7 linked regions of the Sus scrofa genome follow. The protein of the gene in region 5 interacts with the protein of the main gene of each other region in a pairwise test. Links are inferred from orthologs where the notes say so. Each region holds a gene or a part of one and is shown on either strand. Other genes may lie near its edges.

The links.
Region 1: the proteins of C6H1orf109 (region 5) and STX11 interact in binary tests that used the Homo sapiens proteins (3 or more experiments, as listed by UniProt). The two-hybrid records come from large-scale screens. The link is inferred for Sus scrofa from reciprocal best matches to the Homo sapiens genes AIRIM and STX11.
Region 2: the proteins of C6H1orf109 (region 5) and LZTS2 interact in binary tests that used the Homo sapiens proteins (3 or more experiments, as listed by UniProt). The two-hybrid records come from large-scale screens. The link is inferred for Sus scrofa from reciprocal best matches to the Homo sapiens genes AIRIM and LZTS2.
Region 3: the proteins of C6H1orf109 (region 5) and PPP1R12C interact in binary tests that used the Homo sapiens proteins (3 or more experiments, as listed by UniProt). The two-hybrid records come from large-scale screens. The link is inferred for Sus scrofa from reciprocal best matches to the Homo sapiens genes AIRIM and PPP1R12C.
Region 4: the proteins of C6H1orf109 (region 5) and myomegalin interact in binary tests that used the Homo sapiens proteins (3 or more experiments, as listed by UniProt). The two-hybrid records come from large-scale screens. The link is inferred for Sus scrofa from reciprocal best matches to the Homo sapiens genes AIRIM and PDE4DIP.
Region 6: the proteins of C6H1orf109 (region 5) and ZBED1 interact in binary tests that used the Homo sapiens proteins (3 or more experiments, as listed by UniProt). The two-hybrid records come from large-scale screens. The link is inferred for Sus scrofa from reciprocal best matches to the Homo sapiens genes AIRIM and ZBED1.
Region 7: the proteins of C6H1orf109 (region 5) and RINT1 interact in binary tests that used the Homo sapiens proteins (3 or more experiments, as listed by UniProt). The two-hybrid records come from large-scale screens. The link is inferred for Sus scrofa from reciprocal best matches to the Homo sapiens genes AIRIM and RINT1.

The regions. Positions count from the first base shown.
Region 1 is NC_010443.5:21,127,371-21,129,846, reverse strand, and holds the end of STX11 (syntaxin-11), read left to right. Parts: coding exon 1-835; 3' UTR 836-1,976; downstream 1,977-2,476. UniProt on the Homo sapiens protein: SNARE that acts to regulate protein transport between late endosomes and the trans-Golgi network.
Region 2 is NC_010456.5:112,081,211-112,084,710, forward strand, and holds part of LZTS2 (leucine zipper putative tumor suppressor 2), read left to right. Parts: intron 1-8; exon of another isoform or gene 9-148; intron 149-296; exon of another isoform or gene 297-1,879; intron 1,880-2,655; 5' UTR 2,656-2,697; coding exon 2,698-3,105; intron 3,106-3,500. UniProt on the Homo sapiens protein: Negative regulator of katanin-mediated microtubule severing and release from the centrosome. Required for central spindle formation and the completion of cytokinesis.
Region 3 is NC_010448.4:59,344,375-59,348,556, reverse strand, and holds the start of PPP1R12C (protein phosphatase 1 regulatory subunit 12C), read left to right. Parts: upstream 1-1,382; 5' UTR 1,383-1,492; coding exon 1,493-1,813; intron 1,814-4,182. UniProt on the Homo sapiens protein: Regulates myosin phosphatase activity.
Region 4 is NC_010446.5:100,650,619-100,654,118, forward strand, and holds part of myomegalin, read right to left. Parts: intron 2,459-3,500; coding exon 2,342-2,458; intron 1,772-2,341; coding exon 1,539-1,771; intron 682-1,538; coding exon 538-681; intron 1-537. UniProt on the Homo sapiens protein: Functions as an anchor sequestering components of the cAMP-dependent pathway to Golgi and/or centrosomes.
Region 5 is NC_010448.4:93,747,797-93,752,023, reverse strand, and holds the start of C6H1orf109 (uncharacterized protein C1orf109 homolog), read left to right. Parts: upstream 1-1,427; 5' UTR 1,428-1,727; intron 1,728-1,902; 5' UTR 1,903-1,905; coding exon 1,906-2,180; intron 2,181-4,227. Other genes in the region: CDCA8 (borealin), read right to left, coding at 639-767, 906-1,002. UniProt on the Homo sapiens protein: Part of the 55LCC heterohexameric ATPase complex which is chromatin-associated and promotes replisome proteostasis to maintain replication fork progression and genome stability.
Region 6 is NW_018085344.1:633,006-637,177, reverse strand, and holds the start of ZBED1 (zinc finger BED domain-containing protein 1), read left to right. Parts: upstream 1-1,372; 5' UTR 1,373-1,446; coding exon of another isoform or gene 1,447-1,555; intron 1,556-1,783; exon of another isoform or gene 1,784-2,001; intron 2,002-4,172. Other genes in the region: dehydrogenase/reductase SDR family member on chromosome X, read left to right, coding at 1,447-1,555.
Region 7 is NC_010451.4:105,391,638-105,395,652, forward strand, and holds the start of RINT1 (RAD50-interacting protein 1), read left to right. Parts: upstream 1-1,215; 5' UTR 1,216-1,372; coding exon 1,373-1,414; intron 1,415-1,732; coding exon 1,733-1,778; intron 1,779-4,015. UniProt on the Homo sapiens protein: Involved in regulation of membrane traffic between the Golgi and the endoplasmic reticulum (ER); the function is proposed to depend on its association in the NRZ complex which is believed to play a role in SNARE assembly at the ER.

The sequences.
Region 1 (2,476 bases), on a different chromosome or scaffold from region 5:
GTTAACCAAGCACTATGACCAGCAGTTCCCAGAAAAGGACGATGACTTTGACTCACCTCACGAGGACATCGTGTTTGAGACGGACCACATCCTGGAATCCTTGTACCGAGACATCCAGGAGCTTCAGGATGAAAACCAGCAGCTGTTTACTGACGTGAAGCGGCTGGGAAAGCAGAACGCCCGCTTCCTCACGTCCATGCGGCGTCTCAGCAGCATCAAGCGTGACACCAACTCGATTGCCAAGGACATCAAGGCCCGGGGTGAGAGCATCCACCGCAAGCTGAGCGCCATGAAGGCGCTGAGCGAGGAGGCGCAGGCAAAGCACGGTGAGCACTCGGCTGTGGCGCGCATCGCGCAGGCGCAGTACAGCGCGCTCGCCCGCACCTTCCAGGCTGCCATGCACGAGTACAACCAGGCCGAGATGAAGCAGCGCGAAAACTGTAAGATCCGCATCCAGCGCCAGCTGGAGATCATGGGCAAGGATGTCTCGAGCAACCAGATAGAGGACATGTTCGAACAAGGCAAATGGGACGTGTTCTCCGAGAACCTGCTGGCTGATGTGAAGGGCGCGCGGGCGGCCCTCAATGAGATCGAGAACCGCCACCGCGAGATGCTGCGGCTGGAGAGCCGCATCCGCGACCTGCATGACCTCTTCCTGCAGATGGCCATGCTGGTGGAGCAGCAGGCTGACACCTTGGACGTCATCGAGTTCAACGTGCAGAAGACCCTTGACTACACCGGCCAGGCCAAGGTGCAGGTGCGCAAGGCGGTGCAGTACAAAAAGAAGAATCCCTGCCGGACCATCTGCTGCTTCTGCTGCCCCTGCCTGAACTAGCAGGCCTGCAACACCTGATCCCAGACCTGAAAGGGCTAGTAAGCACCCTGGGAAAGATGTTGAGGCCATTTGCACTGGGATGAGTTGCTCTAATGCCTATGGACCTCGCTCTTTAGAGAAAGAAAACACTCAAGGTCCAAGAATTCCAGCCCAGCTCGAACTTGGAAAGAGGGTACATGTCACCCCATTGTTTCTTCAGTAAGGACAGATACCTCCTGAAATTTTGTGAGATCATTATATGGCACATAAACACCCTCGCCTCTTAACGGAAGCCAAATGAGGAACTGACATTGTAGTGTACTCTACGGTAAATGTCCAAGGCACGTTTGCTCATGAACCTCTAGGAGGAAGTCAAATTGTGCATCAGCCCATTGTGTAAGGACTGGTTATTAAAACTTCAATTCATTTACCCTGTCCTGAAAGTACCTTGGTTCTATTCATTTTCGAGTGAAATTGACCTTGGGAAAAACTGCACATCTTCCTTTTCTTACTCTTTATCTGGTTTATGCTATGTGATTCCCACATGGATGTGTATCTTCTTTCTGCTCACCTCCTCTACTTGTTTAAATCACAAGTATCACTGTTTCCTCAACTCTTTATATTCTATCAGAATATATTTGGAGATTTTTTTCCAAATGTTTTTAAGCACTGAGTATTGAACAAGCACTCAAATTAAAGTTTGTATGTCACATTATATATATTTTTCATAAATAAAAATAATTTAAAATTTCTTTTTACTTGATTTTTACAAATGCATATATATATAAATGTAAAGTACAAATATTTACTAATGCATGTACATAATACCAATTGGTTTAACTTTACTTTTGTAAATATGGTATATAAATATCCAGGAAAATATTTTTACTGGTTATTAGTGTTGATTTGCTTGTTTCATCTGCATCTCAGTAGTCCAGTTTGGGTCAAAACTTGGTTTTGAACATCTCTGTCTTGGTTATGGTGATAAAGACAGATAAAATTCTGAAAATGCATACAAAACTAGAGATAATAAAAATGGTCTTAAAAGTAATTACTTTTGTTTTACTGTGGCCCATTCCTTTCATGCATTCAAATGTGGTAATTTAAAATAAAAGAATCCTGTTTTTCAAGTTAGTGGAATAAACACATTATAAACATCCTTTTTTATGCATTTGTGTCTTGACCATTTAAATCTTAGTCTACTTTTTCAATTATTGTCTACTAGCTGCCTGAGGTTGCAACATCTGGATGAAACTCTGAATAGAGGGGGGAAATGAAAATTAATTCACATGGGGGTGTGTTGCTTTCTCTCCTGAGTTATTTACAATAGTTTAACAAAATCATCCTGTTTTGGAGATCTGGTTTTGTTTGCAAACTTTGTAATGCCCTGACTCACATTTACCATGTTTTCTGTCTTTAAGTCAACTCTTAACTCTTTCCACTCGCTATTTAATAAACGAGAGTTTATTCAATGGTCGTTATTCCCAGAGTTTTCAGACAGTGAAACTTTAATAGAAATAGAAAGAAGAGTATGTGAACTCTTTGGAACTCACTGACTAGCCTGCTTATGACTGTGAAATCTAGCCCTGCTCCTAATTTTAATTTCATGGTTAAATATGAGAATTGTGGAAACCAAGTCCCACTAGGCTTTTCTCAGATTTC
Region 2 (3,500 bases), on a different chromosome or scaffold from region 5:
GCCGGGCCGGGCCGGGGGCGCTGCGGAGGCGGGGCCGGGCCGGGCCGGGCCGGGCCGCTCCGAGTGGGGCGCGCGGGCTGAAGCCAGGCGGCGCGCCTGTGGAGCGCTGGGGGCGGCCCGGGGCTGAGCATGGAGCAGCGCGGCGGAGGTGAGGGGGCGCCGGGGCTGGGAGGCGGCCTGGGGGCGCCCCCAACTTCTCCTCGGCGGAGGTCCCGTGGGGAGGCGGCATTCCACAGCTGCCCCCACTTTATGGAAGCGGCGGGGGATGGTGGGGGGTGGACTCCGGGGGATGGGTGGGGGGGCTCCCGGCTTCCTGTCTCTCGGAATGGGAACTCGTGATCCCAGACTTGATCCCGCTGGATGGTCCTTGGAGTTTGGTGAGGGGGAGACTTTCCCCAACTCTTCTGCCCCCAAAACAGGTCCGTGGGATCTCGGACCTTGGCCAGACCTCCCTCGGGCCCCAGCTGGACCCAGCCCTCAGCCGCCCCCAGCCCACTGAGCGGGGGAGCGTGTGCTGTCCGGGTTTTTCAAGGATGTTGCGGAGAGCGAGGGGTTTTCTTCCCACAGCCACAAACGCATTTCTCAAAATGGAGCCTCCACTTGCCCCTCCTTCTCTCTCGGGCTCCAAGAGCGGGAGCCTGGCTGGCTGGGCCTGGCTTTCCAGACGCCTGGCGCTGGCTCGCTGGGTGTCTGGATCTCAGGGCCCAGACTGATGTCTCTTCTGGTTGAGGGGCCCCTGGCTCACTGGATCCGCCTGACCCTGGGGCCGCTTTCAGTCTTTGTCTCCCGTCTTCGGAGTCTCTGTCTCCTCCCCTCAGTTTCCACTTTTTCTGTGCTCACTGAAAAGTAGGAAAACGCAGAGGTGCCAGTCCCCCTAGCCCCCTAAAAAGCCCCTTCCCCGCTGTTGTCTCCATGCTCTGGAGTGGCCTGGGAGAGCGCAGAGGGCGTGTTCCACCGACTTTGCTCAGGGCTGGCACTTGTGGGGTGGACTCAGCCCCTACCCCTGCTCCCTGGACACCAGTCACCCCGACCCCAGTTCCGCTCCTCCTCAGTCGGGACACCTCCCCAGTTCTCTAGGGCTTTTGACTTTAGTGGGGAGGTTGCGGGGCGGGAGGGGGGGGACCTTAATGGAACACAAGCGGGAATGAAGGAGAGCAGATCAAGCAAAGGATAACGTCTCTCCTCTCCCTACACTCCAGCAAGTGACAAAAACCAGGCTCCCACTCACCCATTTGGCCCTGCATGCCACCCAGGCGTGCGCTCTCTCTCTCTCTCTCTCATGCTCCCATGCACACACATTGCTCTGTATGCACACTCTGTACACACTTGTGCACCCTCAGGTACACATACTCATGTATATATGAATGGACATCTCTCCAAACATCTCTCATAGTCACACTCATGTACCACAAATTCACTTATTATGTATGCATTTGTAACTTTCATGTACTTTCTGAGAGAGATACATTATTTTGCAAACATTCTTTTAAGATCTGCACGTATGAGTGCACATAGATACTCACGTGTGCCTGAACGTACCGTTGCATCTGTCCAAACATATATGTGTACTCACACACACTCACTCATGTTTTCACACACAGTGCTCATTTTCATGCTCTCGTGCACAGTTTCACACGCACAAATAAGTAAATGCACACACTCCTACTCCTACGCAATTCTCTGTCCACATCTTGGCCCCTGCTCTGCATGATGACTTCAGCAGATGCCTGAGTCCTGGTGTTCAGCCTCCGGACTAGGGAGGGAGTTCCGGGCGGAGACTTGCTGTCCTCTTCCAGGAAGGAGCAGGGGCTGGGGAGGTGGAGCCCTCTTCCCTGGGCTCCAGGGAAGTGAGAACTTGGAGCAGCTGCCAGAGGTGATGGTAGGGCTTCTCTCTTATCTCCTCAGGGTTACCCGGGGAATGTCTGAAGCCGGAAGGTTTCATAGAGGTTGGCAATGGGCCTGCGTGGGCTTCTGTAGGCCCCACTGATTGGGTGTGGCAAGGCTGGGAGTTGTCATGGAAACAAGCATGAACCTGCATCCACCTCTGGGAGGCAGGAGACCCCAGAGGGCACCTGTGGGCTCCCTAAGAGCTCTGGGTTCTCGTTTGGCCAGCTCCACCCTTCCCGCCTCTCTGTCTGGGAGAAGCTGAGGCCTAGCTGGGGGAGGCTGGGCACTGCCTGGCCTTGGCTTTTTGTACCCTAATTACCGTCTGAGTTGCTGACTGTACCCCTGAGAGGTTGTCCACCTCTAATGAGGCCACCTGCCCCAAGAGACCAGGGGCCTGTGCTAGGAGCTGGTAGAGAGGGCGCCCTCCCTCACTTGAGTCCTGACCTCTGTGGGGGATGCTGTTTGGGGCTGGGGCCTGGGCCTCTGCTACCAAGGGCCCTGTGTAACCACCAGGCCTCCCATCCCCTCCTCATCCCTGCTCCGTCTATTCAGGCCTCAGCTCTGTTCAGACCAGGGCTGGGCAGTGGTCTGGGGCCCAGGGAGAATTGAGGTTCCATCCCTTGATCAGAGGAGTAGCCCTGGGGGGTTTCAGTGCTTGCTTACCGGTGCCAGCGGGCTGTTTGACCTCCGAAGGACCAGGAGGGACTCGGCCTTATTTAGGGAGGAGCTCAAACTGGAGAGACTCTGATACCACTGCCCTGCTCACAGGTTTCCCTGGAGGCCCTTGGCCAGGCCTGAGCCTCTGCCGCCATGGCCATTGTGCAGACGTTGCCGGTGCCACTGGAGCCCGCTCCTGAGGCCGCCACTGCCCCACAAGCTCCAGCCATGGGCAGCGTGAGCAGCCTCATCTCAGGCCGGCCCTGCCCCGGGGGGCCGGCTCCTCCCCGCCACCATGGTCCCCCTGGACCCACCTTCTTCCGCCAGCAGGATGGGCTGCTGAGGGGTGGCTATGAGGCCCAGGAACCACTGTGCCCAGCTGTGCCCCCCAGGAAGGCTGTCCCTGGCACCAACTTTACCTACATCAATGAGGACTTCCGGACAGAGTCACCCCCCAGCCCAAGCAGTGACATTGAAGATGCCCGAGAGCAGCGGGCACGAAATGCCCATCTCCGTGGCCCCCCACCAAAGCTCATCCCTGTCTCTGGAAAGCTGGAGAAGGTGAGGACCAGCCCGTCCTTTGGGGCCTGGGTGGAATCAGGGGTCTCTTGGAAAAGCTGAGGTTTGGAGGCCTATTTAGAGGAAGGAGCGTGGGCTCCAGATTCACCAGATCTGGGTTCTCGTGTCAGCTCTGCCTCATTTTGGTTGTATGACCTCTGGAAAGTCGCTTAACCTTTCTGACCCCCAGTTTTCACATCTGTAAAATGGAGGTAATAAGTCAACTCATAGGATTGTTGCGAGAATTAAATAACATGTGTAAACTGTTTAGCCTACTGCCTGGCACTTAATATGTACTCAATAGCTGCTCAGAAATACTTTATGACACGACAGCTGTTTGTTTGAGCACTGCCCATAATTCTGCTGAGCCTCCATTTCCTCATCTGTAGTATGGGAAG
Region 3 (4,182 bases), about 34 Mb from region 5:
CTCGCCTGTGTCTGCATTTCAGCACTTTTCTTTGCGATTTTTAGGGGTCTTTGTTCGGGTCTCAAAGTGCGTACCTCTTTCCCAATGAGGATTCAGGTGCAAGGTACTTAAGACGGGGATAGTTTTCTTTTTTCTTTTTTCTTTTCCTTTTGCTCTTTAGGTCCCCACCTTCAGCATATGTAAGTTCCCAGGCTAGGGGTTGAATGGGAGCTGCTGGCCTACCCCACAGCCATAACAACTCAGGGTCCGAGCTGCGTCTGCGACCTGCACCACAGCTCACGGCAACGCCGGATCCTCAATCCACTGAGCAAGGCCTGGAATCGAACACGCAAGCTAAGGTTCATTTCTTGCTTTATGGTGCTACGTACTAGCCCGCCACATCAACTAGAACGCCTCATCTGGACTACAAATCCCAGCATTGCTTGCGAGGATATAGAGCCCGGCCTACACTTCCCAGCGTGCTCCACGCCTCAGGGTGATTGCAATGGCAGAGAGGGCCAGTTTAAGGCTCTGCGGGCATTTTCATTTGTGGATCCTACCTCGCAGGTTCCCTTCCCGATGTGATCCAGGGGTTACTCGGGGACTCTGGACTTATCTTGCCCTCGAATCTTATTTCTTGGGGTGTTTGGGGGCTCTGCCTAGGACTACATTTCCCAGCGCGACCAGCGGCCCATTGTCATGACCTTTGTACCGCATACATAATTTCCCAGCATGCCCTGGGCGGTCACCCAGGAAGGCTTGCAATTTTCTTGATGATCCAAGGGTTGCGGACTCAATTTCCCATAGTATCCTGGTGTTTCCCACGACCTAGAGAATCCGTTCTCTCATTCATTCATTCATTCAAAAAACTATTTCCGATCGCGTTCTACTAGGTACTGGGAACAAGGAAAGCACACAACACAAAAATCCCGGTCTTCCTGGGGCTTATTTCTTGTTGAAGGGCGCGACAAACCCAAAGTAAATAAAGTACATGACATGAAAAAGGGGAAAACGGAAAACTTCTGTACTTTTCGGGTTGTCGAGTCCATTTCCTAGTAGGTCCCCGGGGGCCAGCCCTTCGTCACCTGGATGCTGCGAACGGCATTTCCTGCATGCCCTGGGGCCGACCTCCCGCCTGTAGACTCCACTTCCCAGCACGCCAATCAGATTTCCTTTTGACACCGCGGAGCTGCGAATTTCCCAGTGTGCCTCGGGGCGGGACTATTGCAGAGATCCATTTCCGTTTATGGACTCCACTTCCCAGAGTTCCCCGCGGTCCGCCCTCAGGCGGTTGCCGGTTGCCTCTCCAGCCTGTGGACTCCATTTCCCAGCGGGCCCCGAGTCGGCGTGGTGACGTCACGTGCCGGGCGGGGACCGGTAGATCCTCTGGCGGCGCGGGGCGGGACGCAATTCCCGGCGGCCCGGAGGAGGGCGGGCGTCGGCGACGCCTCGGAGCTGGTCGCTCGCTCGCTCGCTCGCTCGCTTCTTACCTGGCGGGCGAGCGGGCGGCGCGATGTCGGGCGAGGATGGCCCAGGGGCGGGCCCGGGGGCGGCGGCGGCGGCAGCCCGTGAGCGGCGGCGGGAGCAGTTGCGGCAGTGGGGGGCGCGGGCAGGCGCCGAGCCGGGCCCCGGGGAACGGCGCGCCCGTACCGTGCGCTTCGAGCGCGCCGCCGAGTTTCTGGCGGCCTGCGCGGGTGGCGACCTGGACGAGGCGCGCTTGATGCTGCGCGCGGCCGACCCCGACCCTGACGCCGAGCTGGACCCCTCCGCCCCGCCGCCAGCCCGCGCCGTGCTCGACTCCACCAACGCCGACGGCATCAGCGCCCTGCACCAGGTCAGCGCCCCCGCCCGGGCTCCGATCCGCCCTGGGTCTGCGCTGCCTCGAGCACCCTCCCTCCCAGTCCAGAGTCACCCTTGCCAGTCGTGGTCTGCACCGTCGATGCTGCCCCGGTCCTTTATCATCCCGTGCTGAGTCCTTTTCCCATCCCACCCACCTGGAGCTCCCCTCTTCCAGTCCTGAGCCACTTGAACTGGCCTGGTTTTTGCCATCCTGCGCTGCCCTCTCTCCGGACTCGAGCCACTGCTGAGGGCCTCAGGCCAGTCCATCCTCGTCTTGTCTCTTTCGCCCTGCTCTTTCCCCACCTTGAGCGCTCTTAACCAGCCTGGCCCGTGCCACCTCTACTCTGCCATCGAATGCTGCCCCACTTTCTCGAGTCCGCCACTTCTCCCAGCTTCACCGGTACCCACTGTTTCCCCTAGTCCAGGCAGGTACCACTTTCCCTGAGCGTCCTCCTCCTCTCTTCTGGGCCTGTGCTGCTTCTTTTCCCGCTCTCTGGCCTGGGCCGTTTCTTCGGCCAGCCCCCGAGCCTTCCATGCCCTTTCCTTCAGGTTTCTGCTCTTCATCCTTGGTCTCTGCCATCTGTTGCCATGTAAGGGTGCTCTTTCCTGAGCCATCGCCCTCAAGGCGCTCTGCTCCTCAAGTGGATGCTTCCCTCGCCTGGCTCACCTCCTGCTCTCTCTCCTGCCCCCTTCACCTGCGTGCCCTCCTCATTCTCCCTCTGTGCCACCTCTGGCCTTGCACTGTAGGCTCTCTCTTGGGGATGTTTCTCTTTCTCCACACACTTCTCTTTCACTCTGTCCTCTTGCTTTGTGTGGGCCTGCAGCGTTACCCTTTTTTCTGGGCACACTCAGAGCACCCTCCTCTTTCTGGTTCTGGGCCACCTGTCTGTCCTCGGGTCATCTTGCTCTCTCTGCCTGGATGCCCTCCTGTGGCTTTGGGCAGCTTCTCCCTCCTTCAGAGTGCACCGCCAGTTCTCCTAGGCCCGGTCACTTCCCCTTCCCAGGGGACCTAGAGCCCTGCTAGGTCCTCTCTCTCCACAACCTGGGCCCCCAAACCTTTCCAAAACACCTTGCTTTCTGCCTCCATTGGTCTTGTGTTCCAGAGCCAGAGTCACTATATGTCCCAGAACCAGGATTCCCTCTGGTTCTGAGGGCTTTTATCGCATCCCCTGCCTGGCTGCAGTGGGTCTTTGGGGACAGGCCACAGAAGAGCCTCTACTCCTCCCTCTGTCCCCGAGGCTGTCTCCCTCCCAGTCTTCCCAGCTCAGGCCAGTCCCCAGGCCTCTCTTCCCTGCCAGAGCCCGTCAGGTTCGGTTACTTTGGGGCCCAGAGAGGACCCTGTGAAGGAAGCGTGGGTAGGGGCACGGGAATGGGGAGGATGCCTGAAGAGGCCCCCTTAGCCAGAAGAGGAGCAGAAGAGGAGCAGGTACCCAGAAGAGGAGCAGTTCAGGGAAATAGAAGAGTCCCGAGCTCTTTTTTTTTTTTTTTTTTATTTCTTTTCTTTTCTTTTCTTTTTATGGCAGCATCCGTGGTATATGGAGGTTCCCAGCCTAGGGGTCAGATCATACCTGCAACTGCCAGCCTACACCACAGCCACAGCACTCAGGATCCGAGCTGCATCTGCGGCTTACGCCACAGGTCACAGCAACGCTGGATCCTTAACCCACTGAATGAGGCCAGGGATTGAACCTGCAACCTCATGCACACTATGCTGGGGTCTTAATCGGCTGAGCCACAACAGGAACTCTCTAGTCCTTAGTTCTTTTTTTCAGTTTTTTGTCTTTTTAGGGCCACACCTGCGGCATATGGAGGTTCCCAGGCTAGGGGTCTAATCAGAGCTGTTGCTGTCGGCCTACACCACAGCCACAGCAATGCCAGATCTGAGCTGAGTCTGCGACTTACACCACAACTCATGGCAATGCCGGGTCCTTAACCTACTGAGTGAGGCTGGGGATCAAACCCGCAACCTTGGGAACCCCTAGTCCTTTGTTCTGATCTCAGCTCCTCAGCTCTTTTGTGGCCTTGAAATAGTGCCTTTTCTCTCTGTGCCTCAGGTTTCTTAGCTGTTAGCAGGGCCAGTAGCCAGGCTCTCCCTGGTGGGGCTCTGGCACATCCTTCAGCAAGTGCCATAGGCATTCAGTTGGGGAGTTGCAGCCCCTGGTCTAAGGGGCCCCCCCCATTCCCCCGCCCCCGGCCTGTCCCCTACAGAGGCCCTAGTGCTATCTGGGACATTTTTTTTCCATCTAAAGGAGCAGCCCACTTCCTGAGGAGCTGCACGGTCTCAGAGCTTGGCAAGCCCAGGAAAGGAGCCTCAGGCTTTGGTGTCCCCTTTCCTCCGCCACCACCCCTGCCCCTCGCTCCCCT
Region 4 (3,500 bases), on a different chromosome or scaffold from region 5:
ACCAGAGAGCCAGCCTGAGATATGAAAGCCCCTGGGGGAGGCGGACTCTCCCTAGGACTGACCCAGAGAAGCTGATTTAAGTGATTTTTCTGGGATTCCAGTGGGTGGCTAAAAGAGGCCAGTTGACTTCTGGTGACATTCTGTGATCCTGCCTGACTATGTGGACCTGGGGGTAAGGTGGGGATGGGAAAGGAAGTATTGATGTTTCAACATGGCCAAGAACTTCAGCTCAGCTAAACTTTGGAAAAGTGAAGAAACCAAAGGTTTATGGGTTACCCGGGCTCTCATGTCTGCCTATTCCATATCTTTTCCTTTTTCTCTTTGATTACTTGTTTGAGGGGTTGTGGGTGGGAGGCGAAGAGATACAGTCAGAGATAGACTGAAATCGGCCATCATGGGGAAGTCTCCCTCCAGGGACACTCCCATCAGCTCCCTCTGTCCCAACTGACCATTTGGCTCCCAAACTTCAGGATGTGCAGACCAAGGAGGCAGAAGGATATCTGGGGGCAGGACCTGTAGACGATGCTGGTTTCTTACCACTTTGCCAGCCAGTGCAGGGCCTTGGGAGCTTGGCAAGGCTGCTCGCCAGAACATGGTGAGGAGGGAGGTCGACTCCTCCAGCCGCTGGTGCAGAGTGTTGGTGCTGCTCAGGAGCTCATGGACACCTTTGCTGCCCATCTCCTGGGAAAAGGGGGAGGTAGCCATGGGTATCCCTGGGGCTGAGAAATCACTTCTTTTTTCCTGAGCATAAGCCTCAGCTTCTTTTGTGAGTGAGGCGCAGACGTGGTCTACTTGACCCTGTGAAATTCTGATCTCAGCAGGAACACCCTATGGCAGGAATTCATTTGATTCCAGCTTCCCCCATACTCTTTAACTTCTAGCCCTGCTTTGTGCTTTAGAATCTGAGGTCCTTAGTTTTTGCACTGGCCCCATCTTGCCCTTCCCTAAATCACAGCTTATGCATCAGATGAGCTGCACTGCTTGTAGGACTGAGGTGCCACTCCCTTTGTCTGGTATTTCTACTCCCCAAAGAACTTATGCACCCCCTGTGGACCTGTTACTTTCCCTGCTTGGGATAACAGCTGACTCTGGGTTCATGCTGTCACTCCCACAGCACGTCCGATATCACGCCTGCCCATATGGATTCAAATTCTCAATTCCTAGCCAACTGACATATTTTTTTTTTCTTTTCTGCCTACAGATGGTCATGTGCAAGCATGGCTTCAGTAGATAATAAGCAAATAAAAGGTACTCAGTACAGCACCACATGTATGTTGACACTTAACATGCTCTACTGATGAGGATGGCAATGAGGATGGCAGTGCTGTAAAAGCTTTTCTGTGGTTCTGAGGGGGATATATCAAGTCAGCTACATATAGAACAGAGCAGAGCTTATAGTGAACTTAGCAGATGAAAATGGAAGATTGGAGCTGGCTTCAGATCTGGAGCATGAAAAGAAATAGCAGGAGAAGGAGCTAAAATCAGAAGAAGAAAGGCCCTGAGGAAAAAGGTGCACCTGAGAGCTATGATATGATTACCTCTGGGCCTGGAGCTTCAAGGCCAGGAAAGTTGCAGGTTGATCTCATGAGAGATGCTATCTTCTTGACCAGCAGTCTGCTCTCCTCAATCTGCTGTCTTAGGGCACTGTAGTCATCAATGTGTCCAATGACATGGCGGCCATGCTTATTGGCAAAGCAGCCGTCAGTAGCATCACCTTCCAGCTTGGGAGGGTGAGGGTTCTTCTTCACTGGAGAAGCATCCAAACCCAGCTCTGAGGAATAATACCACAACACAACAGAATCCACTGTTATTCATAAGCATATTCTCAGTTCAATCCAAAAAGGACATCAAGTAGTGAGAGAGGCCAGAAACAAGAAATCTTGACAGTCTTGGAAAGCACAAGTGTGAAGTCCATAGGTACTCTGGGTTTTATATTCTATAATCTTTCTTATATCACCTCATGATGATAGACTGCCAGGAGGCAGCTTTTATCCTTATCGACCAATAAAGTATTCAGGGCAGATATAATTAATAAAAACTTTTAAATTTGGGGGTTGAGAAGACACAGACAAGGAAATTAAGTTGGATAGAGAGCACTTTTAAGAAGGCAGAGATTATAGTGCAATGAGGCAGTACCAGAGCAATAGGAAAGCCATAGGAGAAAGAAAAATGACAAAAAAAGGCAGCCACAGAAGGTGCAATAAGTAGGGCTAAGGGCCTTGGGACATGCAGAAAAAATCTCTCTAAATTCAGATAATGTACATATAGAGAACCAACTATTAGTTGCATCAATAACTTTCCATCATCACTAGACCCTGAGCCCTGTAGTTGTGCTGTTTACCATTTGTCCTATTGAAGGTTGTGGTCTCTGAGCCAGGAGGAGCAGAAGAAGAGCTGGGGAAGACCAGAGCTGGAGAATTCATGCCCACATCCCGAACTGGAGGGGAGGCAACTGAATCTAGCAAGTAAAGATAATCACAGCTTTAGGAACCCTGGAAAATGCTGCTCCCCAAATGCATGCACAGCTTAGGCTTTGCCATTGGAAATCTAAGGTAACATGACGCTCTTCTTACCTAATCGTCATCCATGTACCCACAGTCAAAACCAATGGCAAATAAATCACTTATTTTGCAAAAGTAAGATGTTCCTATAATTGAAGGGTGTTCCATGAGAAAGTGACTTCCAGTTTGAAAAATGATTAGGTATGTTTTTCTAACCCCAGATTTGAATATAATTTTGTATGTGGTATGTCTTTTACCATGCTTTATAACTAAATAGAAATATACCTAGATATATACACTATGTATATATATATATATATATATAAATATTTCATCAAAGAATGAATGGGTTTATGTGTGATTAAACTCAGCACTCTAATCTCCATTTTGATGAGTGAAATATAGAGTAGTATGAGAAGAATAGGAGATAGAAGCCCTGGTAAGTTTGAGATGCCCTACTGGAGCCCAGGCAGCAAACCTCCAGGGAGGAATTGGAAAATCCCACCAGGAGACTGAAATAATCCTGGTCAAGCAAATGTGGCTTAGAGCCTGCTTTCCAGCTCAGGTCTCTATGCTGGAGGAGAAGGAGGAGTGACTGGGCCAATGGGGCTGAGTCCTGGCTGGTGTCGTGGGGAGGCAGTCAGAAGGGAAAGCCTGGTTAGAGGAAAGATGAGCAGTACTGAGACAGAGCATAGTGAGGTGGAAGGAACAGAGACTGGAAATCAAAACTTCTGCTTTGAATTCTGGGTTGGCCTCTAACTCCAGGAAACTTAGAATGTCTTTTAATTGTCTCAATGCTGAAGTTTTCTCATGTGAAATACAGAGGCAATAAAACCTGTCCTATCTCTGATGAAATTATTTGAAAAAGCACTTGAAAACGTGGTGAATGTTAAAGTACCCTGCACACATAAGGAATAGACATTAGGGAGAGGAGAGAAGATGACAGAGTCAAAGAACTTGAGCTTGCCTCCTCTCAAAAAAACACCAAATCACAACTAA
Region 5 (4,227 bases):
TTCAACCTACACCACAGCTCATGGCAACACCAATCCTTAACCCACTGAGTGGGGCCAGGGATCCAAACTGCATCCTCATGGATACTAGTCAGATTCGTTACCACTGAGCCACAGTGGGAACTCCCTGATCTGCCCATTTTAAAACTGGCAATTTCCATAAGCAGAAGGACCTGCTTGGGGTTATCCTTCCACCTGAGCTCTGGTAACAGACCAAGTTATTCATTTGTTTGTTTTTAAATGGTTGGATCAAAAAAAAAAAATCTTATAATGTGAATCCACATTTTAGTATGTCCATAAATACATGTTTATTGGAATACAGCTGTGCCCATTCATTACAGCTGTTTCGGAACTATCACAGCAGAGATGAGTAGTTTTCAATGAGAACCATTTGGCCCATAAAGCCTAAAATATTTACTACCCGATTCTGTAGAGAAAATGTTTGTTTGCCTACCTGCACAAGTAGATGAGGTTAAAAGCAAAGGAGAAAAATAAAGCAAGGCAGTGAGACAGAGTGGGGATGGGTAAGGTTGCAGTTTCCTACAGGGATCTTGGACGACTTCAGGATGAAGATGAAGGCTGTCATTGGAACCACAGAAGGGCTCCAGGTCGAGGCCTGGGGAAACTCTAGCAGCTCTTACCGAAGTACTCGAGCCAGTTCATCTCGCGCAGTGCCTTGGGGAGTCGCAGGATCTCGATGTTGTACAGGTTATCCATCTCCTTGAGGAGGTTCTGCCTGTCTGACTGAATTTGCTTGGATCGTATTTGCACTGCAAGAGGGCAGAGCGGACAAGACGTGGGTCACCAGTGGGCAAACGGGGCCTGGAATCCGTGCGGCCTGCGCCCCAACCCGCCAGCACCCCGCGATTGTCCCAGATGCCAGCGACCTCCCGGGCTCCGCCCCTTACCTTCACGGTCGAAGTCTTTAAGAAAGGAAGCGAGCTTTCGGCTCCGTAGCGAGTTGTTCTTGGCCACCCGACTGCCGCCTTTCCTAGCCGGAGCCATGGCACTTCGCTGGAGACTGCGGGGAGAGAGGGGCCAAGCCAAAGGGTGTCAGCGGCGGAGAAAGGGAGGGAAAGGGGGCCGCGAAGGAGCAGGAGAGGGCGGAGGACACCCCAGGGGGGTTGGAAGGGGACCCCTGCCCTTCCCGGCATGAGCATAAACGATTCGCGAGGCACTCACCTGTGGGCCCCGGTAATAGGGGCTGAGAAAACCCTGGCTGCTTCAGCTGAGAGGGAGCGGCTCCGGGACTAACCGGACGTGCGACCGCCGCCACCAAATTCAAACTGCCACAAGCTGACCAATGAGAAGCCGCCGTCTTAGAGGGTCCCACAACAGCCAATCGCAGGGACGCTCTGCGATCGGCCAGTCAATTCACACGCAGGACTACAGCACCCAGAAGTCATTGCAGTTTGACGGCATATTTTCGCGACTCTGTAGCCACGTTGGGGCATGCGCAAAGAGAGTCCCTAAGGCTCTTGAGGGCCTAGAGAGGTCCTCAGACTTTAACTGCCTTAGCTTTAACTTTTGCCGCTGGTTTAGGGAAGGCGAGCCGTAACTTCATGGAGAGGAGACAAGGTTCGGGTTCAGGAAACTCGAGACGGCCCGGGAAACCCACAGTCTGAAACAGAAAACTACCCGAAGCCGGATGAGCCTCCTGCGAGGAATAGTCAAGAAATCTTTCCCGAGGTGGGAAATAAGGGTCCTGCCTTCCGAGAGCCTGTGTAAAGGTAAGACAACCCCTCACTCTAGAAACTCCCGTCGGGAGGGATAGACAGCTACCTGAGGAAACCCTGGGTTAGCTGGACCTCACTTGAGAACGGAAATAACTCCTACCGACTTGGTACTTCCCCTACCGACTTGGGACTCTAGGGCTGTGTCTTTTTTTTTTTTTTCCTCCCACAGAAGATGACTCAAGTTGGGCCTTTGCTTGCCGTGCAGGAGGCCCTAAGGAAGTGCTTTCTCGTGGTGGAGGAGCAGCAAGGCCTGTGGCAGAGCGTTCTTAAGGACTGCCCGCCGCTCCTGGCCTCCCTCAGTAACCTGGCAGAGCAGCTGCAGGCCGCACAAAATCTGCGATTTGAAGATGTGCCGGCACTTCGGGCCTTCCCAGACTTACAGGAGCGGCTGAGACGCAAGCAGCTGGCGGCTGGTGACATTGTCCTGGACAAGCTAGAGGAGAGGCTGTAAGAGGTTTAGTGGCTCTGTTCTTGGTGGAAAGATTTTAAAGCTAGGTGTTTAGAAAACTAGGATCAGTTAGAAGGATGTTTTTCTCCTTACTTGAGAGCTTTGTATTTGGGGATGTGTCAACCTTACGTGCTTTTCATCTGTTGCAATGGGACCTCTGTCAAAAAGCCACTTTCTGACATTTCTTTTGTCAGGCTAGGGGTGGCAATGGTGGACTTCGTAAAAGTTACCAAAGCAGAACAGAAAAACAGTGGAGAAAGCTTATTAGCCCTCCTCTGTAAGTTTTTCTTTGGTAAAAAGCAGCAAAGAGCTGTACTATAAACTTAGTGGGTGCCAGAGCTGAGGGTTTTACGTCCATTATCCGTAAAATCTTTTCTGCACCTCTATGACTTAACCTCACTTAATCTCATTTTTCCGGTGAGGCAGCTGAGGCCCAAGCAGATTGCCTGTGGTCCTGCAATTAGTAAATGGTAAAGCTGGGATTCTCATCCAAGTGTATCTGACACCAAGGCCGGAGCTCTTAACCACTACTTTGTTCTGCTGTACATTGGTGTGTCTGTGCCAGGAGTGGTACCCCTCTAAGCTCTCGTTATGCCTAGTGTTAGACTCTCTGGCTTCGAGTTATAGGTAATTGAGGATAGAGGAGAGACAGGGAACTTATGGCCTTTCCTTGACCAGGACAAAAGAAGGTTCTAGTGTATAGAGTCTGTGCTGTTAACTAATAGGAGACTGTCAAAGATGAGTGCCTTCTTGGTATTCATTTGTTTAAAAAAAATTTTATTAACAGCCTATAGGAGAGTTCCTGTTGTGACTCAGTGGATTAAGGACCCAGTGTTGTCTCTGTGAGGATGTGAGTTCAATCCCTGGCCTCACTCGGGGGGTTAAGGATCCAGCATTGCTGTAAGATGCAGTGTCGGTCACAGATGCAGCTGGTGTTGCCATGGCTTTGGCATAGGCCTCAGCTGCAGCTTTGATTTGACCTCCGGCCCAGGAACTTCCACATGCCACAGGTGCGGCTGTAAAGAGAGAGAAAAAAAAAAAAAAAAAGTAAAGAAAAGAAACCTATGGGGAGTTCCCGTCGTGGCGCAGTGGTTAATGAATCCGACTAGGAACCATGGGGTTGCGGGTTCAGTCCCTGCCCTTGCTCAGTGGGTTAATGATCCGGCGTTGCCGTGAGCTGTGGTATAGGTTGCAGACGGCTCGGATCCGGCGTTGCTGTGGCTCTGGCGTAGGCTGGTGGCTACGGCTCCGATTAGACCCCTAGCCTGGGAATCTCCATATGCCGCGGAAGTGGCCCAAGAAATAGAAAAAAAAAAAAAAAAAGAAAGAAACCTATGGGATGCCAAGCACAGGGTGCTGGGTCTACAATAAACCAGACTTAAGTTCTTTGGTTGATTAAAAGAGATAGACAGTCAATTAAGTTTTGTCATGGTACATTCTAATATAGTGACCTTTTATTTCAATTGATTACATATTTGTATGTGGGTATGGACTGTTATTTTAAATCTTTTTTTTTTTTTTTTTTTTTTTGACCGCACCCACGGCATGAAAAAGTTCCTGGGCCAGGGATCAAACTCAAGCCATAGCAGTAACCAGAGCCACAGCAGAGACATCACTGAACCACCAGGAAACCCCTATTTTAAGTGTTTTTAAGTCGTGAGTCACAGTCAAACATTTTTGAAAGCTGCAGTTCTAGGCTAGGGAATGCCTTGCCCTTTGGGAAGTTGTAGCTTTCTTCTTGGTGGCTGGGCCCCTTGGAGTCACCAGTGGAATAATAACAAAATTTACTATAAGCCAGGCACTTCCCTAAGCACTTACATTACTGCATTTAATCTTCGCAGCAGTCTTTTTCATTCATTCATAGGACAAGTGTTTGTCGTTCTCTGTGCCAGTCCGGATATTCTAGGCGCTTATGATGAATAGTGAACAAAAGAGACTGTATTCATGATTGAGAATAAGTAGCTTTTCTAAGATCCCCAGTTGTCTGTGTGCATCAAGAGCCCAGACTTGGCCCATTTGCTGGGTTTGGGGTGAGAGGTGACATTA
Region 6 (4,172 bases), on a different chromosome or scaffold from region 5:
GCCCCAGTAGGGACCAGGAGTCCTGGCCACAGTGGGGTTCTGCTGGGGTAGGGGAGGCGGGCTGTGAGGGATCCCACTGTCCCCACAGGTTCCAAGTCTATGTGGGGCTAGGCAGTCTGGGTGGGAGTCCATGGTCTAAAGAGTGGGTTTGGGGTCCAGGGTGGGTCTTGGGGTCACGAGGGTGGGGTGGGCCCAAGGCAGGAGTTAGGGGGCTGGGTTGGGTTGATGTCAGGGTAGGGTCTCTGGCGCAGGGGTGGCCTGCAGTCCCGGTGGGGTCCCTGGACCAGGGGTCTGTAGTCCCAGGGTGGATCTGAGTGATGGTCCTGGGGTCTGTGCGGGGGCTCAAGGTGAGGGCGGGGCTTCCCTGGGTCTCCTGTCAGCACAGGGGCACATGATCTGGGTGGGGGGGGTCCATAGTTCTGTGTCCTGGGGTCCAGGAGGGGGAACCCTGGGGTCTGGGGTCAGGTGGGATCCCAGGATCCAGGCAGGAGTCATGGTCCGGGCTGGGTCCTTGGGTCTGGTGGGGCACTGACAGACAAGCAGGGGTCCCTGGGGTCTGCAGTTTAGGTGGGGGTCTGGGAAGGGGGTCTCTGGGGTCCATGGTCCTGGAGGGGGTCTGGGGTCCCGGGTCAGGCAGAGTTGGAGGGGGGTTCCCTGGCATCCACAGTTTGGGTGAGGGTCTGGGGGGATCCCTGGGGGTCTGTGGTCCTAGTGGGGGTCTGGGGTCCCGGGTCAGCCAGGGTTCAGGTTCAGAGCAGGACCCCCTGGGGTCCGCAGTTTGGATGGGGTTCCGGGGTCGGGAGTGGAGGTGGGGGATCCCTGGGGTCCGTGGTCCTGGAGGGGGCTCTGGGGGGGGTCTCTGGGGTCTGGGGTCCTGGTCAGCCGGGCTCCAGGGTCTGAGCGGGGGCTCCTGTGGTCCTCAGTTTGGGTGGGGGTCGGGGGTCTGGGGGGGGTCCCTGGGGTCCATGATCCTGGAGGGAGTCTGGGGGTCCCGGGTCAGGCGGGGTCAGGGGTCAGAGCGGGCGTCCCTGGGGTCCGCAGTTTGGGTGGGGGTCGGGAGGCTGGGGTCCCAGGGGTCTGTGGTCCTGGTGGGGGTCTGGGGTCCCGGTCAGGGAAGCTACGGGGTCCGAGCGGGGGCTCCTGGGGTCCTCGGTTTGGGTGGGGGTCTGGGGTCTGGGGGGGGTCCCTGGGGTCCATGATCCTGGAGGGAGTCTGGGGGTCCCGGGTCAGGCGGGGTCAGGGGTCAGAGCGGGCGTCCTTGGGGTCTGCAGTTTGGGTGGGGGGCCGGGGTCGCGGGTCAGGCGGGGGCGGGGGTCGGCGCGGGGCCGGCGGGCTGGCGGGCGGGCGCGCGGGCGCGGGGGGCGGGCCGCTGCGGGCGCGTTTCCGCCGTCCGGCCGGGCGAGCGCCGAGTCCCGCGGGCGGCGCGGAAGCGGCGGCCGGGCAGCCATGTCGCCTTTGTCTGCGGCGCGGGCGGCCCTGCGGGTCTACGCGGCGGGCGCGGCGGTGATCCTGGCGCAGCTGCTGCGCCGCTGCCGCGGGGGCTTCGCGGAGCCAGGTCAGCGGCCGGGGGCGGGCGGGCGGGGTCGGGGCGCGGGGCCGGCGGGTGGCTCGCGGCGGCGGCGGCGGCGGCGATGGCGGCGGCGGCTCCGGGCCCGGGCGGTGCGTCCCCCGCGGGGCGCAGCCCCCGAGGCGGGGGCAGAGCGGGGGAGGGGCGCGCCCGGGCCCCGCGTGCCCTTGACCGCGGCCTGGGCCCGTGCGCGGCGCCGGGCGCTCCCGGAAGCAGGGCCGGGCGGCCGCGGGGGTGGAGGGCGGGTCGCCCCGCCCGCCGCTCCTCCCCGCGCGCCCGAGGCCGGGGTCTCCCTGCGGTGTCGCGCGCCCCGACCCACCCAGCCGGGCCGGGCCAGGGTCCTCGGGGTCCCCAGGGTCCCGCGCGCCTGCCCCGCAGCTCCCCGCCCGGAGGGAGGAGGGCGCGCCGAGAGCCCGGCCTCCGCGCAGGGTCAGGTAGGACGGGCTCCGGGGGGCGTGCGGGGCCCGGGGGGGCCTCGGGGGCAGGGCCCTTCGCTTCAGGGGCACCTTGCTTCTGCGGCCTTAGCGACCTGCGCCCGCGGCGTCTGCGACCCCGAACTTTCCGGTGTCGGGACCGGTTCGCGCTCCGAGCGCTGCTGGGGGGCCCGCGAGGCGCTGTGTGGCCGGGGCCGCGTCGGCTCCCGTTGGCGCGCCTGGGACTTCAGCCGCAGACCCGGAGCGTTCCTGTCTGCCCTGATTTGCAAAGGAAGCAGGATAACGCCAGGCTCTGCGAGCATACGTGGCTTTTTATTTTTAGATGAACAGTAACTCCTTCCCAAACAGAGGGGTCGGTGGGGAGTGCGGTGCTGTGTTACTTTGTGGCCGCCTTTGGCGTGTGGCCTAAGGTGAGAAATCCTCGGAGGTCCGCTTCTGTTTCCACGCGGTTGGCACCGCCCGCCGCCTGTCTCTGGCACACACCCCTGGGCACCCCTGAGAGACTGGGGTGCAAACAGGCCAAGTGCATCTGACTGTGGCTGTGAAAAATACTTTAAATCCCTCCACCGCCCCACGCATGGGGGTGCCTGCGGCCCCACTTTGCAAACCTGCAGCTCTGCGCCCCACAGATAATTTTTTTTGGCGCCCCACCCTCCCCGTGGGGTGGAGACTTAGGGAACTCTTCCAGGTGTGCATGTGACAGAAGCGTTTCGTTTTACTGTCAACCTGATTTCTCATTCTTTCTTTCTTTTTTTTTAAACGCTTTGAGAGCGATTAGAATGGAATAGAGCGAGTCCCCGCTGTGGCGCATCGGGATTGTGGCGTCTCACGGGGAGGCAGGTTCGATCCCCAGCCTGGCACAGTGGGTTAAGGGGTCTGGCGCTGCTGCAGCTTTGGCCGTGGTCCCCGAGATCGGATCCCCGGCCTCCATATGCTGCCGGGTGGCCAAAAAAAAGAAAAAGGTATTTATTTTGGAGTTCCTGTTCTGGCTTAGCAGGTTCATTGCTGGAGGTTTCAGATATTTCTGTGAGAATCGGGTTCCATCTCTGGCACAGCTCAGTGGGTTAAGGATCCGACGTGGCCCTGAGCTGCAGCTGCAGCTCGGATCCGAGCCATAGCCTGGGAATGTCCATAGGCTGCCGGTGCAGTAGTAAAAAGAAAAACACACTTGAATTGAGAGTAAGGAGCCAGCCAGTACCTGGGGTTTGGGGCGGGGGCGGGGGGATGGGGGGTACAGGCAGAGGACACCTTTTAAATCAGGCCTGGCCTGTAAATAGTAAACAACGTTGGAAAGCTGTCCCAAGTGGCCCCCATTGACCCAAAGGGTGGCACCCCCCCGCCCCACGGGACAAGGTAGGCGGCTGGCTGTGCAGCTTTGCTCCCCCTGCGTGCCTCGCGCCCCTTCGGGGCAGGCTCTTCACCTGCTCAGGGACCTGGCAAGTGGAGGGTGGAATTGGAGCTTGCCACACCCCATTCCCCAGAAGGCCCGTCTCAAAAACGTGTTTGTGGTGCATCCAAACCAGGCCTTGCCTTGTTGTTTCCACCTGTTGATTTAGAAAAAGAGCAGAAAAGCCTGTAACCGGACCCACTGGGGACCAAGCGGTGTGTGGGCGGAGTGAAGCCTTCCTCCTGCTGGAGCAGAGGGTCAGCTCCGTTTAAGAGGAACTGGACGAGCTCTGCAAGCCACGTGGTCTGTTGGGTTAGAAATCCTTGCAGAGCTGGGGGGAGCCAGGCACGTGTGTCCTGAGTGTCTGGTGGTGGCCCTTGTCCCACATGTCACAGTCCTTCTGCTTTTTGACCTTTTTTTTTTTGCTAACTGGACGTAACTTTTGGCAAGGAGACATTGAACGTTGCCCCAGGTGGAGCTGAGCAGTAGCAGGCCCAGTCCACATGAAGCATAGCTGGGGGTTGTTTGGTTTTGTTTTAAACCTCAGAGGTTTTCTGGAGTTCCTCTTGTGGCTCGGTGGGTTAAGACTCCGACTAGGATCCATGAGGACGCGGGTTCTGTCCCTGGCCTCGATCTGTGGGTTAAGGATCCGGCGTTGCCACGAGCTGTGGGGTAGGTCACAGGTGCTGCTCGGATCTGGTGTGGCTGCGGCGAAGGGGCCGACAGCTGTAGCTCCCGTTCAACCCCTAGCCCTGGGACTTCCATATGCTGCAGGTGCGGCTCT
Region 7 (4,015 bases), on a different chromosome or scaffold from region 5:
GTGGTGTAGGCCAGTGGCTATAGCTCCATTTTGATCCTAGCCTGGGAACCTCCATATGCCTTAGGCGCAGCCCTAAAAGACAAAAAAATAAAATAAGGAGTGCCTGTCATGGCTCAGTGGTTAAGGAACCCGACTAGTACCCATGAGAACGGGATTTGATCCCTGGCCTTGCTCAGTGACTTAAGGATCCGGGTTGCCGTGAGCTGTGGTGTAGGTCACAGATGTGGCTTGGATCCCGTGTTGCTATGGCTGTGGCGTAGGCCAGCGGCTACAGCTTCGATTGGACCCCTAGCCTGGGAACCACCATATGCTGTGGGTGTGGCCCGAAAAAGACAAAATAAAAATAAAATAAAATAAAATAGTAGACTGTTGGAGTTCCCTGGTTGCTCAGTGGGATAAGGATCCGGCCTTGTCACTGCTGTGGCTCCGGTTACTGCTATGGTGAGTTCAATCCCTAGCCGGGGAATTACCGTTATTGTGGCCAAAAAGTAAAAACAAAATAGTAGCTCGTGATTGTTTTATAGTCGCAGTGGCGTCATATCTCAGGACATAAATAAATAAATACAATGTTCTCATTGAATCGGTTCTGTTTTCTCTAAGGGTTGCTTTTTCTCCCTTTCTCTGTTAGTTTTAGTCTCAATGGTACCACTTTACATGTTTATTTTTGAAGTTGTCGCATCCCTGAATTCTCTACCTATATCATGCTGCCAGTCCTGGTCCTCCTCCCTGGCAAAGTACAGACTTTGATCTGAAGTATATATTAGATGCTGAGTCCTTTCCCTCTGTTCTGCTCCCAGAATGTTTACAATCAGATCTGCACCCTTCAGGTAGGAAGTTGAAGTGTAACTTGTAGTTAAATCTGATTAGCTTTAAAAGAATGATCCAAAGATACTGACATTGGAAATTATGCGATTAAACCACCCAACCAAATTACATTACTACTTGTCAACAAGCTCCCTCACACTCTCAGAACATCTGGGATATCCTCTAAAATATAAGTTGAAATGATTCATAATGAATTTACAGTGTGGAAGGAAGGATACTTTGAATCTCCATCATTAATGTTTCCAAAGCAGTGAAGGAGGTTTTACTTAGAATGACAAGGACTGCCTTTGCTCGCCCCCTTTTCTTCTTCCAGAGCGTCCGATCCGGATCCAAGCCGGCAGGGGGCGCCACCGCGCAAGACCGGCAACTGCGCGAGAAGGGCCTCTCTGGAAAGAAAGGAAGAAACCAGAGAGACGGCAGAGGAAGTTGCCGTGGCGTCCAACGCTAAGGTCTCGAAAGGTTCAGCCGCTGTCTAGCCGCTGGCCGGAGCCAGGGTCCACTGACCACGCTGGCTGCACATGGAACCGAGGACTCGCGCGGAGGCAGGATGCTCCCGGCCAGCGAGATCGGCGAAGCGCCAGCAACCCCGGTGAGGGGGCCCTAGTGGCCGCGGGAGGGGACACTGGTGGCCCAGTGAGGTGGCATAGACCTCTCAGGAGAGGTAATCCCAATGCAGTGGCTGTGGCGATACCGATGAGATGACACAGATCTTTCTGGGGAGGTGGCTGTGGTGGCCTCAAGGAGCTAGCCCTTTTTGGAACCTGCATCAGATCGCACCTCAGGAAGTCTCCAGGGGGGAGGGGTCTGGAACCTTGGGGTCCTCCCGTGGATGCCCTCTGGGAACCCTGTATGAATTTCACTTATTGCTTCAGTCTTAATGTGTTTGTCACACCTGCTCTCCTTCTAGTGCTGTTCTGAAAATGGTGACCAAAGGAAGGATGTCAAGGACAAAAGTAAGCAGACTCCGAACGCCTTTGCACTTTCCACTCAGCATTTCTCCAAAATTCAGTCCTGCAGGGTCTACATCCAAGAAGGATGGTACCTTGTTATTTTTTAGATGAAGCACCTTTTTTTTTTTTTTTATTTCCGTAGAGTATCCTTTCCTAGTATTAAATACTGATTATTATCATACATATATTTTTGGCTTTCAGGATTGTACAATATGGGATGATTTGGAGAAGAAGGCTTCCTGACTCCTACCTAGTGCAGGAACTGGTGGAGTCTCACTCAATACTGGACTTAAATTAGTTGGGAACTGCCTGTTATTGCAATGAAGCATCAACTTAATAAGCATCACGAGTTAGAACGGGCTGATGATCTAGGAGAGATAACCTCCACCTGTGTTGGGTTTAAAGGAGTCAAATGATAACTTTTCCTATTGGCTTGCCTTTAATTAGACTTAGCCCATATGCTTTTACAAGTGGAATCAATCAGAGGACAAGCGTGTAGGGGAATAATTTTTCAGTACTTGCCTTGTAAACTCAAATTCTTCTTTGAGGGAGGTCTTTGGTGGCCTAGATCTCTGGTTAGGACTCAGTGCTTTCACTGCTGCAGCCCAGGTTTGATCCCTGGTCTGGGAACTGAGATCCCACATCAGGCTGCTGCACTTGGCAGCCCCCCAGGCCCAAAAGAATCTGGTAGTAAAATTAAAAACAAATTGTTTGGAGTAAATCAAGCATTTACTGTTCACAGGGTTTTTTGTGAGTTGCAAAATATTTTTCCCAGTATCCCCCCATTCATTCTCTGTTACCACCATCAGACAGAAAGGGTGAGGACACTTTTTTCTTGCCTCTGTAGGGGATACCTTAGCAGCAGATGGTAACTGCTCCAGGCCTGTCAAATAGATGCCTTCAAATGATAATTAGTTATACTCTATCTTCAGTGAATTAGCACATAAAAGTTGATTTGGGAAGGGCACAACAGACAACTTGGTTCCTGGTTCTTGAACTGAACCCAGAAGAAGGAAAGATCATTATTTCCATTTCCTACCTAAGATAAAAGCATATATATGCCAGGGATGTAGACATGTGCCATTTTATTTTAATGAGCTAGGCATGGCACACTGGTGGAAATCAAGGAATATTCAGGGGCCTTTGGAGGGAAATTTACTGGGAGAGGAAGAGGGAAGCATGTAACAGCTGTTTCATCAGAGTGTTTTGGTTCTTCTGGCCGTGGCACATAGCCTGGGAATGAATAGTAATAGAAAGGGTGCCTAAGTTACCATATTAGTTTTAGGGGTTAGACCTGCCCTTAACATTGCCTCCTGCTACAGTCTGCCTCAGAAAGAAAGCTTTAACTACTTCATAGTGCTTGCCAGTCACAGCTGCCACAACTCAGCTCCTTTTCCTTAAAGGATTTGAGAGTACCTCCTGTACCTCTCTCAATTAAACACTTTCTTTTTCTTTTTTTTTTTTTTTTTGTCTTTTTGCTATTTCTTTGGGCCGCTCCCTCGGCATATGGAGGTTCCCAGGCTAGGGGTCTAATCAGAGCTGCAGCCACCGGCCTACGCCAGAGCCACAGCAACTCGGGATCCGAGCCGCGTGTGCAACCTACACCACAGCTCACGGCAACGCCGGATCGTTAACCCACTGAGCAAGGCCAGGGACCGAACCCGCAACCTCATGGTTCCTAGTCGGATTCGTTAACCACTGCGCCACGATGGGAACTCCCAACACTTTATTTTTCTACCTTTGCCCCACTCATATGTTTGGGAAGTTGATGCCATTAAGCTGTGGACTTTGTCCTTGACCTTCCTTTGGTGGCTTGGTCAACTTCTTTGCAATTAGAAGTGCTCCTTACAAAAAACAGGAAAAGAGACATCACCCCTACGCCATCAGCAGTGTGTCATTTTGAAGAATGTCATTTGACTAAGACTGTACTATGCTACATTTAAATGGTTAAATCAAAAGAATATAATTTTTACTTTTTTATTTTTTAAAGTATAGTGCCACTTTCTGTCTTACAGGAAAATGACCCAGTTATACATTCCTATACAGTAGGACCTTATTTCTTTTCCATTCTAAGTGTAACAGTTTGCATCTACTAACCCAAAACTCCCAGTCTATCCCACTCCCTCCCTCTCCTCCTTGGCAAGCACAAGTCTGTTCTCTATGGTCTGTGAGTCTGTTTCTGTTCTGTGTATAGGTTCATTTGTGCCATTTTTTGGGGGGGGGGCTGTTGAAAAAGAGCT